3 linked regions of the Drosophila melanogaster genome follow. The protein of the gene in region 2 interacts with the protein of the main gene of each other region in a pairwise test. Each region holds a gene or a part of one and is shown on either strand. Other genes may lie near its edges.

Evidence for each region. Proteins that work in one complex are often made in the same cells at the same time.
Region 1: the proteins of Atf-2 (region 2) and kumpel interact in a two-hybrid assay, tested with the Drosophila melanogaster proteins (one large-scale study listed by BioGRID).
Region 3: the proteins of Atf-2 (region 2) and rtp interact in a two-hybrid assay, tested with the Drosophila melanogaster proteins (one large-scale study listed by BioGRID).

Annotation. Positions count from the first base shown.
Region 1 is NT_033777.3:25,905,125-25,910,116, reverse strand, and holds the start of kumpel (kin of rumpel), read right to left. Parts: upstream 3,096-4,992; 5' UTR 2,988-3,095; intron 2,571-2,987; 5' UTR 2,455-2,570; coding exon 1,925-2,454; intron 91-1,924; coding exon 1-90.
Region 2 is NT_033778.4:24,868,031-24,872,019, forward strand, and holds Atf-2 (activating transcription factor-2), read left to right. Parts: upstream 1-2,077; 5' UTR 2,078-2,179; coding exon 2,180-3,215; intron 3,216-3,268; coding exon 3,269-3,378; 3' UTR 3,379-3,459; downstream 3,460-3,989. Other genes in the region: CG16896 (uncharacterized protein), read right to left, coding at 3,460-3,615, 3,679-3,989.
Region 3 is NT_033777.3:5,235,497-5,239,297, forward strand, and holds rtp (retinophilin), read right to left. Parts: upstream 1,820-3,801; 5' UTR 1,764-1,819; coding exon 1,736-1,763; intron 1,678-1,735; coding exon 1,377-1,677; intron 1,171-1,376; coding exon 903-1,170; 3' UTR 596-902; downstream 1-595. Other genes in the region: Mms19, read left to right, coding at 1-232, 347-538; CtsF (cathepsin F), read right to left, coding at 2,395-2,660, 2,717-2,898, 2,958-3,701. UniProt on the Drosophila melanogaster protein: Plays a role in promoting axonal degeneration following neuronal injury by toxic insult or trauma.

The sequences.
Region 1 (4,992 bases), on a different chromosome or scaffold from region 2:
ATGGCCAGGGTCACCAGAATGAAGGCGTACTGCGTGCCATATACATAGATTTCCGTTGATGTTCCCAGAAGCGAGATTCCAGACACGAAGCTAAAAGTGAAATACCAACAATTAGTTCACGCTAATTATGTCTTAAGCTTAAAGTTCAGCTAATTGCCAGTCGATTGATCAAGATCTATTTTCGCCCCGCCAAAGTTTTTTTTTTTCATCTTTGCCATCCCGCAAAGCAAACTTGAACAAAATTTTTTAATTCAATTAAGTTATGGTCACTTAGTCGTTGGTCAAAGTTATAACGAAGGTAGGCCAACTTTTGTAAAATAAATTTAACGTAATCGATTGGCGAAGGTTAAGGGCATTATGGCACCATATTGAATCTTAAAAGTTTGTTTGCTATGAATGGTAAAGATAATATTTTGGTATTATATATTAAGCATGTGTGCTGCTGCTATGAATTTAATCCAATCCGAAACAAATGATGTCTAGTCGCATTTGGCGGAGAAAACTTTTTCCTTGCCCTGCATTTGGTAATCTGATTTTAATGATTAATGTCCATAACAATCATCATTTCAATTTTGGCCGCAAAACAAAATGAATTGCCACCATCGGTACAGAAAGTTGACGGCCGAGAGAAAAATGCCATTAAAAGTTGATAACAAGCGACGTTAAAGTATGCAGACACACACACAACAAAACAATTTGTTTTACAAAAAATTGAAAAAATCAGCAAGGAACAAAGGGCGTTTTATAGAAAGAAAAAAAATTATGCCATGTAATTGTAATTCAAGGCACGTTGGCTGAATTTGTTGCAAAAAGCAAACGACAACAAATAGAATGCCATAACAATAAAAGGCTCACGAAACAATTGTCATTGGGCAAGGCAAATGACCAAGAGCACGGCCAGGATTTCGGGGAACAGGACCTGTCGGCCTGGTCATTAATGCGTCGAGCACACGGCTAAGACAAAGGGACCGCACCCTTCGAAAGGTGCTTGACCAAAATGTGTCAAATACAAGGCACCCCACTCCGCAGGACCAAGGTCACTTGGCCGTCCGAACAGCAAAAGAAAAAGTAATTTGGGCAAATTATTTGAGTTTGCGGCCGAGCACAAGTTTAAATAACTTCAATCCGGCTTAGACACAGTGAGCTGCTAAGTTGTATTTATATGCCAGATATATTTACTCGCAAAGTTCCGCAAGCCATTTCAATATCAGCACAAACCAAAGGCATCCAACCAACCAACATAACACCAAGGCACTCATCATCCATTGACCCTGACAATGAATATTGTTTACGCAATGCCCTGTCCGGAGTCGGAAACTTTTAAATAAAATGCTTCACTGTTTGCCCTTGCCAAACAATTCGCCAGACAATGCTGGGCTGGGCCAGATTATCTATTTTGCCTAGATTACGTATACGCACGTTTGGCCAATGGCATGGAATAAGGCGAACTGACTGAAAGTATTTTGATTGATCTGCCTGGGCTTGGCTTAGCCCATTACGATAATTTGTGCAAATATTAGCCGCATTCAAGCGAATGCATAGCATTCAATTTTTGCGGATTATGCCGGCTTAAAGCGGGATCGCTCAATAAATTTGCAAGCTTCCTTCCTGTCACACTTTCATTTAGGATGCTCAACCTTCTCTGCGGCCGTGTCAAAAGTAATTAGGCAGGTCTGCACAGCGAAAAATAATGGCAAAAAAGTATCCTTATTTTGATCAGCTTCTTTTCTCCTGGAGCTGAACTCATTTTTTTAAATTTAAATTAACAAAATATAGTTAGATCCGTATTTTCTTTTTGAAACCCTGCCAAATGTATTCAAATTGTTTCCCGTGCACATCCCGTTGGCCAGCCAGGATTAAATTCTCCGGGCCAATTTACCATTTGCATATACATATATATACCCCAGCCGAAGCTGTAACTCACCTGGCCACAAGTGACAGCGCGACCGGAAACACTTTCATTTGCCGTCCGCCCACCAGGTAGTCCAGCGCCTCCGAGCCACGCCTCTCCTCGACGCCCGCCGCCCCACCGCCGTCCTTGCCGGCCAGCTTCTGTTTCTTTTGCTTCTTTTCGATAAAGCCGAAATAGAAGCCGATAACGGCGCAGACCGCCAACATGGCGATGAAGACCAAGTAATCAACAATACCGAAATGCTGCAGGGCCTGGCTTAAATCCTTCACGCTGAGTTTCTCCTCACCATCCTCCAGGGATGGGGATGCTGATTGAGTGGGAGTGGGCGTGGGAGTGTAGGCGAAAGTGGTCGAGGTAGTGGGTGTGCTACTACTCGTTGAAATGGTGGAAGTGGCGCCAGTTGTGGAGCTAGTTGAGACCGTGCTGCTAATTACGGCCACTGTCTTCGCAATCGCATTGGCCACCGTTGTGGTGGTTTTGGCCACTACATCCTCCACGGGGGAGTTTACCCCCAGCGCCACGGGATCGGCAGTGGTTGACATTATTTCCGGCACCGCAAGTTGCTTTTATGTAGTTTATTTTTATGGACTTCCAGCCGCGTCACTTTAATGTGTCCGGCTTTGATTACTTTTGCATTAGTTTAACACGAGCACAATCACTGTGAATTAAATTCGACTTTGCGTTTAGTATGGTTCGTTTTTACGAATAGAAGGCCACTTCCGACTTAAAGGGCTTTTTTTAAAGATAATCACTCGAAAGTTTCTAGCTTCTCAATCGCAAGGTAATTAAAAAATAGTTGAATGTTAAATAAAATCAAAACTCGCTTTCTTTACAGAGAAATAAAAAAAAATTATTAATAAAATGAAATTTTTTTAAATCTTTAGAACGCAAGTGTCGCAGACGTATTCAAGGTCAACGGATTCTATCACAATAGCTCTTATTAATGTAAATGTGTACTTTATCAAAAGCTATACAAAATTGTTTTAATTGCAATCAGAAATTGAAGTCGGGCAAAGCACTTCTAAAAGTATAGTTTGATATTAACAAGTCTCTTTTAAGACGATATATAACGCACACGCTCTCGAGATCCTTGAGTTTCGGATTCAGGACAATTCCAATTCGATTTGGATGAGAGCACACACAAGTGTTTGATCCAAATCACCGCCGAGCACTGAACTAATTTTCCGCCGCAAGCTGCGTTAGAAATCTCCGGAGATCTTATCCAAGTCAGCATCATCGTCACATTGGCCGATCGTAATTCACGCAAATCTTGTAAGAGTGTGGGCAGAGGCTTTGTGTAAAGCTTTATCGCCTAAATTGCCAGGGGCATGTCGGATCTGGATAGATAAGCGCACATATGTGCACACCCCCCATTCGGTGTGTGATGGTGTGTATCTCTGGCCAGCCCAAGATCTGCCAGATAGTAAATTACTTTCTTTGTACGCGGACGTGTCGCGTCGGTGGCTTTATTGCCTGGCGCGATGCTGTATATAAAAATGCATATCCCTTGGAATGGATTTTACAACTTTAAAAAAGAAAAAGGGTAAATTTCCACGATAATACGCTTAGCTCGCTGACTCAAACGGGCTGCTACTGGTTTTAGATAAAAATTGAATGGTGATGTGGATTTTTTCCAGAGGTAACACGGTTATCAGGCGTTGGGGCGTGAGCCAAATCGCTGTGTCCGCCGGAGATTAAACAGGAATACTAAATATTTACCAAATGCGATCAGTCAAGGTTAAAACGTGACACATGCGTGATGTACATGGGCCTATAAATTAATACTAAATTCCCTAAGCGCCTGCCCATGTCGAGCATGAATTTCACCAATGCTGGCATCCATTTCGCAGTAATTTGATTTCTAGAATCGAATTTACGAAAATGTCCAACCAAGTGTGCTGGCATGGCCATATCCGATCGGCAATGACTAGCAGGCAAATCAAGTTAAAGTTCAGCACAATAAATAAATACATAGAAACAGCCGAAAAGCGAGTCAGATGTGTACGCCATTTTATTGGATTTAATGCACATTAATGGGCGCACAATGGCAATGATATCATCGCTGGAATTGTGCGCCAATTACTCGATTGCACTTGCACAAAGGCTATCATTTCCAGCGAAATATGTTGTAAGGTATTGTACTATAATATATATATAGCCAGCACACCAACTAATTGATTTTTGACAATCATTTGCAGCAATTACTTACGTCTGCTGCAGGGTCGAATGTAGGAGGTAAATTCAATTTGCAGAAACCTACAAAACGCACACAACGTGACTTCGGCTTTTCGGTAATCTTTTACGGAGCTAATTCCCTGTAAGGAAGGATAGCCTTCAAAAAACGAAGGGGGCAGCAGTAAGAGCTCTCTATTATTAGGTGTAGTGCAAAAAGGACAGCTTAAAATATGAGCAAAAGTCAAAAAAATAATAATAATTAGGTACAAATGAATTAGCTGGAAATATAAACTTTGTAAATAAAAGCCCTGAATTAATCGAAATAACGTTGCATAGTGCAGATTAGTAGTCTATACTAATTCATGTTATAGTAACGCTTCCCCATTTTGTGAATACTTATATTCAGACATGTTCTATAAAAAGATATAGTCTGACGTACTAGCTACCAGACGGAAACCAATAGTAAGATAATAAAGATTAAAAAAAGGGATGAACAATGTAACCGTAGCCATAAAGCAAAAGATAAAATCCGATTTAAATTCGTGTGTAAAGTACTTATGTGTGAAATTTAGGAGCCAAACTAACTCATAGATAGTGGCCAGTGTCAGCCGCAATATAAAACCAGGCCACTGTAACTGTGGCGCTGGAAAAAAAGAAAAACAGAAAACAAAAAGCAAAACAAATGCCACAAAGTGCGGCAAAAATTTAATTATTTTTATACGACCGACGAGCAAAGTGAAAACCAGGCGAAAATGAAAAACCGACTTTGGCTCAGTTTTTCTTGTGTGCTTTTTCATTTCTATACCCAGTATTTAAAAAGCTTAGGGGTAAACTAAATTTCGGAACAGTTAACACCATATATATTTCCTATATAGCCAATATAGCCTATTTTATTTAGTTATTTT
Region 2 (3,989 bases):
CCCGGGCCGTGGAAGTTGTTCAAAAATATATGCGCAATCTGCCGAAATAGCCACCACTTCTATAGGCCTTCAGAAACGTTCGGTGTCCACCTTTTGACTCTTACACTCGATGAAGAAATTGAGATACCAGCGGAAAATAAACAAGACCGTTTTGTCTCCCGGAGGAACCCCAAATGAGGCAGCCAAACTTAATAAATTATATGCAAAACTGCCGCTGGGGAAATGGCAAACCAACAAAGTGTCCAAATGGCAGCGGGAAAGCCAACTTGCAGCAGGGGAAAACAAATGTTGGGCGTTCGAGGAACTCCGTTTTTGAATATTTATGAAAGGACAGTGTGATCCTCTGAGCTGGATACCAGCCGGATCCTGTAGGCCGCACATGCCGTTATGGCCAATTGCGGTCCTTGACTCCTTTGCAAATTTCCTAGGGCCAGAAACCTGATCATCAAGTTGGTAACCAACGCTAGGGTCATGCCAAACGTGTCTTTGCTAAAATGGAATGGTTAATCTGGTCAAGTCTTAAATACCAATGTATCACTATGAGGACTGCTATACCTTTATATTACATATTTTTCAAATAAAATTCAAGTTCTTATGGAACTTATTCAAACATTTGTTCTCAAGCTTTACTTTAGCCTGATCGCAAGCTATTCCAAGTTTGGAAAAAAATTTTGTGCACTCAGCCACTTGATCCTAACCACAGAGACCGACGGACAGTAAGAAAAATGGCGAGGTTGCAGTGCGATGATGGAAAGGATGTGGCGGTGGGGCAGGAAAAGGAGCTGATGGGTATGGATACTTTGAATGCGGGCAAGAGAGAGATGTTCATCGGAACGCATGTTCTTTGAAAATTGCCCATAATTATGCGAACGAACTTCAAACTGATTGTTTCTACCGGCAGCAGCGCAGTCCGAGAAACGAGAATCCAGAGCCGAGGATCGGAACCCATCTCCATCCCATAGCTCCATGGACCATGGACCACGCTGTCCGAAAAACGCGCGTCCGTTGCATGCAACGTGGCAGGGATGGGATGGAATGGGATGGGATGGGATCGAGATCGGGACATGGCCAAGGGTATGGCTGTGTGGAATAGCCCGCTTGGCTGCAGTGAAAGAGAATGACTGTAATTACGCATCACTTTTTCTTAATTTTCATGCTGTGCATCTTGCGGCCCTTCCTCCTCGCAAACGGAGCGGATTGGAGTGGTGGTGAACAACGAGGACGAGGGCCGGAAGGGGTCCTCCATCTTCTCGCTGGGAACAATTTAAGCACTGAACTTGACCCACAAGTCGAGTCTGCTGCTTTTTGTGCGGCAGAGTTTTAGAAAATTGCTCGTTTCGTTGCGTGCATATTTCCCAAAATGCGAGCGGCTTGAAATCATTTTGCGTGTTGTTTTGTCCGCTGTCTGTTTTCTGCTTGTTCCTCCAATGAGAAATCTAATTTAAAAGATACAAATTTTAAATTATGGGGTTTTCTTGGCTACCAAAAATGTTTCGATGTTTTTTCTTCGCTTTACCTTCCTCTTCTTCACATATGATTGCTTCTACGTGCCGAAGACTCGCATTTTGGCATTTTGGATGCGATGGCAGATACGCAATTTCGTTGCGGAAATGCCGAATGTCAAGAGTGGTTGCATAACAGCTTCAAACACAGAAAGGCTAGGAATAATAAGGGTCTCATGACAGAGGGGTATTTTTTACACACAGTATTTATTGGTAACCAGATTCAAATTGAAAACATTCGCGCGCCTTTTTTGCACCCACTCGCGGTATCGATATATCGGTTTGCACACATCACTACTGTGCTAAGGTAAACAACATATAAAATATACATTATATCGAGGTTTGAAAATTCCTTTACTTATTTTGTTACACAATGAAGATTATTCAGTATTTATTTGATTTATTTTAAGTTCTACGTTATGATCTTTGTTCTACCAGTAATAAAATACATTTTACATCGTAATTACGGCAGAAGAACTTAGTACCTTTTCCAGCACTGCAGCCAGAGTTGGTTTCTTAATGGAGTCCGATAGGTTCAATAACACATCCATACATCGATAACAATTTTATTTTTTGTTTTGCTAATGTGATTTACAAAATAGTTGTTTTAATTGAGAATTGTCGGCAGATTATGGAGTTTGATTTGTAAATAGCATGATTTTGATGTAACTTCTGACATGGACACCGCCGGAGACATGGATCACCTGGCCAGTGTGTCCTTCGGCGACTTTGAGACAAAATCCCCAGAGGGCGACGTATCCTGCTATCAGAACTTTCGGGCACAGACGGAACATGTTTCGCTAGACATTTCTCTCGGGCAGAAGTCAGACACTCTATTTGCCGCCGACCAAACGCCCACGCCTACGCGACTCATCAAGAACTGCGACGAGGTGGGTCTCTTCGAGGACCTGCAGCACGTAAATCCATTTGACATTGGATTCCAGCAAGCAGCGGAGCGAAATGTCAGCGGCACTCCGAGTCGCCCAGAGGCTCGACCCAATGACGGTGAGTCCCTGCACACGCCCCAGGTGTATCCCGTCGAGGCCCCCACCGTGGTATCAGTTCCGTCTGAAAATCAGGTCCCACAAAGTGTCAGCTGCGGCGATATGGATGTGGACCAGCTTCTGGCCACGACAGTTACCTCGCCTTCCAAAGCCAGTCAAGATGGTCCGCCGCCGCTGCAGTTGATCCAGCCCCAGGTCCTAACATGGGTGCTGCCTGCGCAGTCAGTTCCCATTTCCATCGCTACAGTTGATTGTAACAGAAACAGGGTGAAGCCGACTGGTGCCATTCATCCCTTCATACTGCCGAAACCCACTGCGAAAGAATTAAACAAGACCAGTAAAAGACCCGAGCCTATTTTGGTCAGTTGCAACCCACCTAATAACGAGCCCAGTAGCGCCAGTCTGACGCCCACCTCACAGCTGCCCATCAAGGAGCGATTGAAGGCCATTATCCACAGCAATAATAACAGACGAAGTTTCTCCACACCGCCCAAGGCTGCGAAAGCAAAGGATCGCAGTCGGGACGAGGATTGTATGGAGCGACGAAGAGCAGCAGCCTCTCGTTACCGTAACAAGATGCGAAACGAGCATAAGGACCTCATCAAACAGAACGCCCAGCTGCAGCAGGAGAATCAAGAACTGCACGAAAGAATTTCCAGATTAGAAAAGGAACTGCAGCAGCACAGGAGTCACAGCAGCTTAGCTGGCGGTAAGCTTTAATAAACCATTCCTGAAGTTAAGTTAATTTATTTTCGTTTATAGTGGTGGCCGACCAGCTGCGGATTCCACCATCCAGTATACACTTGCTCATCAATGTGCCCAACGTGTTAGTGCCTTCGTCCGCCAGCAACGCAAGCGCGGCCAAGAAATAACCAATATGCCTTGTTTATTTATTTTCTAGTGCCATGTACATAATCCTAGCCTTGTAGTTTATTCGTACAAAAAAGCCTCAGTTAAGTTAAATTCCTTCTGTACTCCAATGTTTTGTCTGTGGTTATGATTTCCGTAAACTCTCTCTGTATCTCAAAAATGGAATTCTCGATATCCACCAGCTGGGGACTAAATTGCACAGATGATGTTGCTGGAGTTCGCAGCTGTTCCATGGTCATCTGTTCGGAAGAAAGTAGACTTAGGAGATCACAGAATACAATCTAAAATCTTTTATCACATACATCACGCAAGTTTTTCTGCAGCTGATCACGCTGATAGCAAAGTTTCTGGATTTTGTCGTAATACTTCTGTGCCAGTGGAGCACCCTCCGTATCCGAGTAGTAGCGCTGGGCAAGGAGCTCCATCTCCTGGTTACGAATTTCATCTTCGGCCAGCTGCATTTCTTGGTTGTGACGCCGACGCTCACGCTCAATACTGTGCATCAGCAGGTCCATGTCCTTCTCCATCTCCAGAATTTTGCGTCGCTGCTCAGACTCCTGTAACTTAGTGATGACCTCGCTCTTGCGCCGACGCACCTCCATTTGGTAGGTGA
Region 3 (3,801 bases), on a different chromosome or scaffold from region 2:
TGTCTACGTACTGAAAGCCACGCCACAGGCGGTTATTAAGCTAAACATTGAGCAGCTCGGTCCGCTGCTTTTCAAGAGCTTGGAGGAGCACAACGAGGCGCAGTCGCTGTGCATTGCATTGGGCATCTGTGAAAAGTTTGTGGCGCAGCAGGACACGTATTTCCAAGGGCATTTGGCCCACCTCATACCCAGCTGTCTGGAGCTGTCGAAATACAAGGCTCAGCATACCATGGTAAGTTAAACATGCACATATTATTATAAAGATTTGATAGTTAATTGAGGAGGTTTCTTAACTTGTAAAGGAAAATGTCGAACACAAAACTTAAACTCATTTTCTTTCTTATAGCAAGTGCGAATTGCGGCGCTGCAGCTGCTCTACGATGTGACAAAGTATCCTACCTTCGTCCTGTTGCCCCACAAAGTCGATGTTACTCTGGCCCTGGCCGCCGCCTTGGATGATCCCAAGCGTCTGGTGCGGAACACAGCGGTGAAGGCCAGGAATGCGTGGTACCTGGTCGGTGCGCCTAGTCCGAATTAGCAGAGAAACAACTCCGTTCTTGTTAATATTATAATCCAATAAGCACACGCACAAATTCTTCATAATTTTCTTGTTGTTTTTATTAGGGTGCGTTGAAGAATTTTTGATAAAGAATTTGGAAAAAGCAAAATTATAAAGTAAACGCGAAATTGTATGCATTTTATATTACTTAGATACATTTACGAACGTTTATGCGCAAATGTATTAAAGTTTAAGATGTTAAGAAAGAAATGCTTATTTCTTTTCTTAAAGGCACCTTTTTCTGTTTTATGACTTGAGACTCTTACAGTCGGTTACTAAAATTTGTATTTTTAAACTGTACGTGTTTATCAATACCAACTGGTAACCAATCTGAAGTGTCTGTTCAGTATGGGTGTTCGCACTGGGAACGGGCCATAAGAGCGCACTTTTGTGCACGCTGCACCACCTCGGGACATCGACGTCGTCTCATAAAGCGGCAGTCTTGAAAGAATCCCTCGTTTCTGGGAAAGCCGTGCGTGAAGTCCTGGAACGTCAGCAATCCCAGGCCCCAGATCTTGCCGCCTCGAAACTCGCCCTCGTACTTCATTCCATCGGCTCTCCAGAAGATCCCATTACCATGAAACCAGCCCTGATGAAACTCGCCTTCGTATCTGTCTTAAAAATGTGCAAAATGAATCATCATATACAATTTTCTTCACTGGATGCAAACCCTAGGTAAATTATAGCTAAACCATTTCTGATCAAGAATATATATACTAGCATTTCCTCTTACTCCCCGAGTAGTGGCTACAAGAATAGTTTTCAAGTGCTACAATATTTCGTTTAGGTTTACATCACTAATATTATTGAAACTGACTTTGCTCCATCCGCGAACCAGAGGCAGCCCACTCCTTGACTAAGACCCTCCTGGAACTGCCCATCGTAGCGGGTGCCATCGGCGAACTGCAGATGCCCGATGCCGTGCTTTTGGCCACGCTGGTTCCACTCGCCGATGTAGCGACTGGCGTCCTCGTATCGCCATCCGCCCACTTTGACCGCCCCTGCGCTGTACTGGCTTTGACCCTGGCCCTGTTGGTGGTGTCCATGCTGACCCTGCTGGTGGGGGTGCTGTTGGTGCTGGTTCTCGATTCGGGCCGTGGTCACGCCCACGCTGCTCACTGGGTAATGATTTTTACGCAATTTTGTATCTGCATCCTTTTGTCTGTGTTCACTTACTGTCATCATCGTAGTCGTCCATGGCCATTGCTCCGCTACCGCCCGCGATGCGCTTCAAGCTGCTACTGAGCTGGCTGGTTCTGCACCAGAAACACTCATTTTCTATGGCTTCCCACGGTGCGACGGCCCTGGTCTAAATCTAATTAACATATTGCACTTCTACACACTGACAAAGTGTTTGAAAATCAATCATCAAAATCACTGGGTCAAATGTTCCAGTAATTGAAGCAGTTATAAATATTTCTTAACAGCCAATAATACTCTGGCACCCATATTTAATCAAACCATTTTAATCGAATAATTTGAATACATCTCACATAAATTCAACATTTTTCTTGATCCAACCAACCATCAATCTTGACCAACTGTTGCTGCGGCCAGAGCTGTCATGGATTCAATAATAAACCCAACCAGGTTTTAATTCTTGTACAATTTATTGTTATTTTCAATTAAAGCGGAATATGTGGATGCAGACTTTTTCGTGAGATTACAGATGTCTGAAATGATTATACTATATAGGCGAAGCTTTGAAACTCAACGACTCCTTATCGTGACGGTTGAAGAACATGGAAACAGAATTAATTGTACACAAAGTTACTGGCTAAATTATTAACCTAGATATAGTCGTATGCTTGTATATAATTGGACTCAAAGCAAGTCTAGGCCAGCACAGCCGAAGTGGCCATTTCGCTGACGCCGCAAGTGTTGTCACCACGATAAACGCGATAATAGCCCTGCTCTCCCCAGCGCGGACCCCACGAGTTCTTCACAATCCAGTAGGGCAAGGTCTTGTGGAAATTGGGATAGTCGGAGACGCCATACCCCACAACTAGAACACCGTGGTCGAGGTTTTTCTTGGAGCACAGGGCCTTCCACGGATGGGAAACTCCGCCGCGATAGAACTGCATAGCATTCGCATTGATGCCTAGAGAAATGATCTGGTTAAGTGGGCTTTGGGGTTAATTTTCTGCATCGACTTACCGATCGAAATGGGACCATTGGCGAGAAGCCACTCCTGCATGGCGGTCTCATTTCCCTTCGGCAGATCCACGAAGCCGGCAACCTGAACGTGGGACAAAGTCCTGTTGAAGTGGCACTGATTCTTTTTGGCCTTGTATGGGTACTCAGCCTCGTACTCTAGGCCGCCAATATCCTTAATGGCCCTGCGGAGGAATTATTACATAAGTATCTACATCGTAATGTTCATTCCCTCGTAACTTACTTGTAAGCATTGTCCATGAGGCCGCCGTTGCAGGCACTATCCGTGGTATCACAGTCCAGCAGCTCCTGTTCGGAGAACTCTTTCAATTCGCCCGTTTTCACTGCGTACAGGCCTTCGATGTTGCCGGTCACACTGAAGGCCCAGCATGAACCGCAGGATCCCTGATTCTTCACCTGGGTGACAGCATCCTTCTGCCTCCAGTCAAACTCCTTCGGCAGTTCACCATGGTAAGCCGGTACGACAGCCGCCGATCCGCCAGTGGCCTTTGCCTCATCACGCTGCCAGAGTCCCGTGCGTTCCTTGTATTCCGAGCTGGTCATATCAGCAAACTCCGTGATGCCGTACTTGGCGCTGCCCATCTCGTTGGCGTTTAGCTCCTCGATAGTCTTCAGGTTCTGACGGAAAATGCGCAGGCGCATCTGGCGCTCGGCGGTGCTTACGTAGCGACGGCCAAATCGCACCTGGAACTTGTAGAAGAGGTGGTCCACCTTGTCAAAGCGATGGCTGTGCTTCTTGTGCGTCTTCTTCTCGGCCCACTCCACGGATCGCGTGTGTCGGGCCTGGACCACCGGCTGGTTGCGGCACTTAAAGGTGATTTCGTGCTCATCCTTCCTCACCCAGACCTTTGTCCAGATATCCACGATACAGCGGTGCTGCTCCTCCGACCCGTCGATTAGATCCGCATCGATGCGGGTCAAGATGCCTGAATCCACTTGCCGCGAGGCTGAGTATACTTTCACAATTCTAGAGCACAGCAAACGAGCGAGTCAATTATAATGAATCAGACAAATCTACTTAATGCTTATTAATATAATAAAATGAAGAAAATCCTACAAGTTCTTCA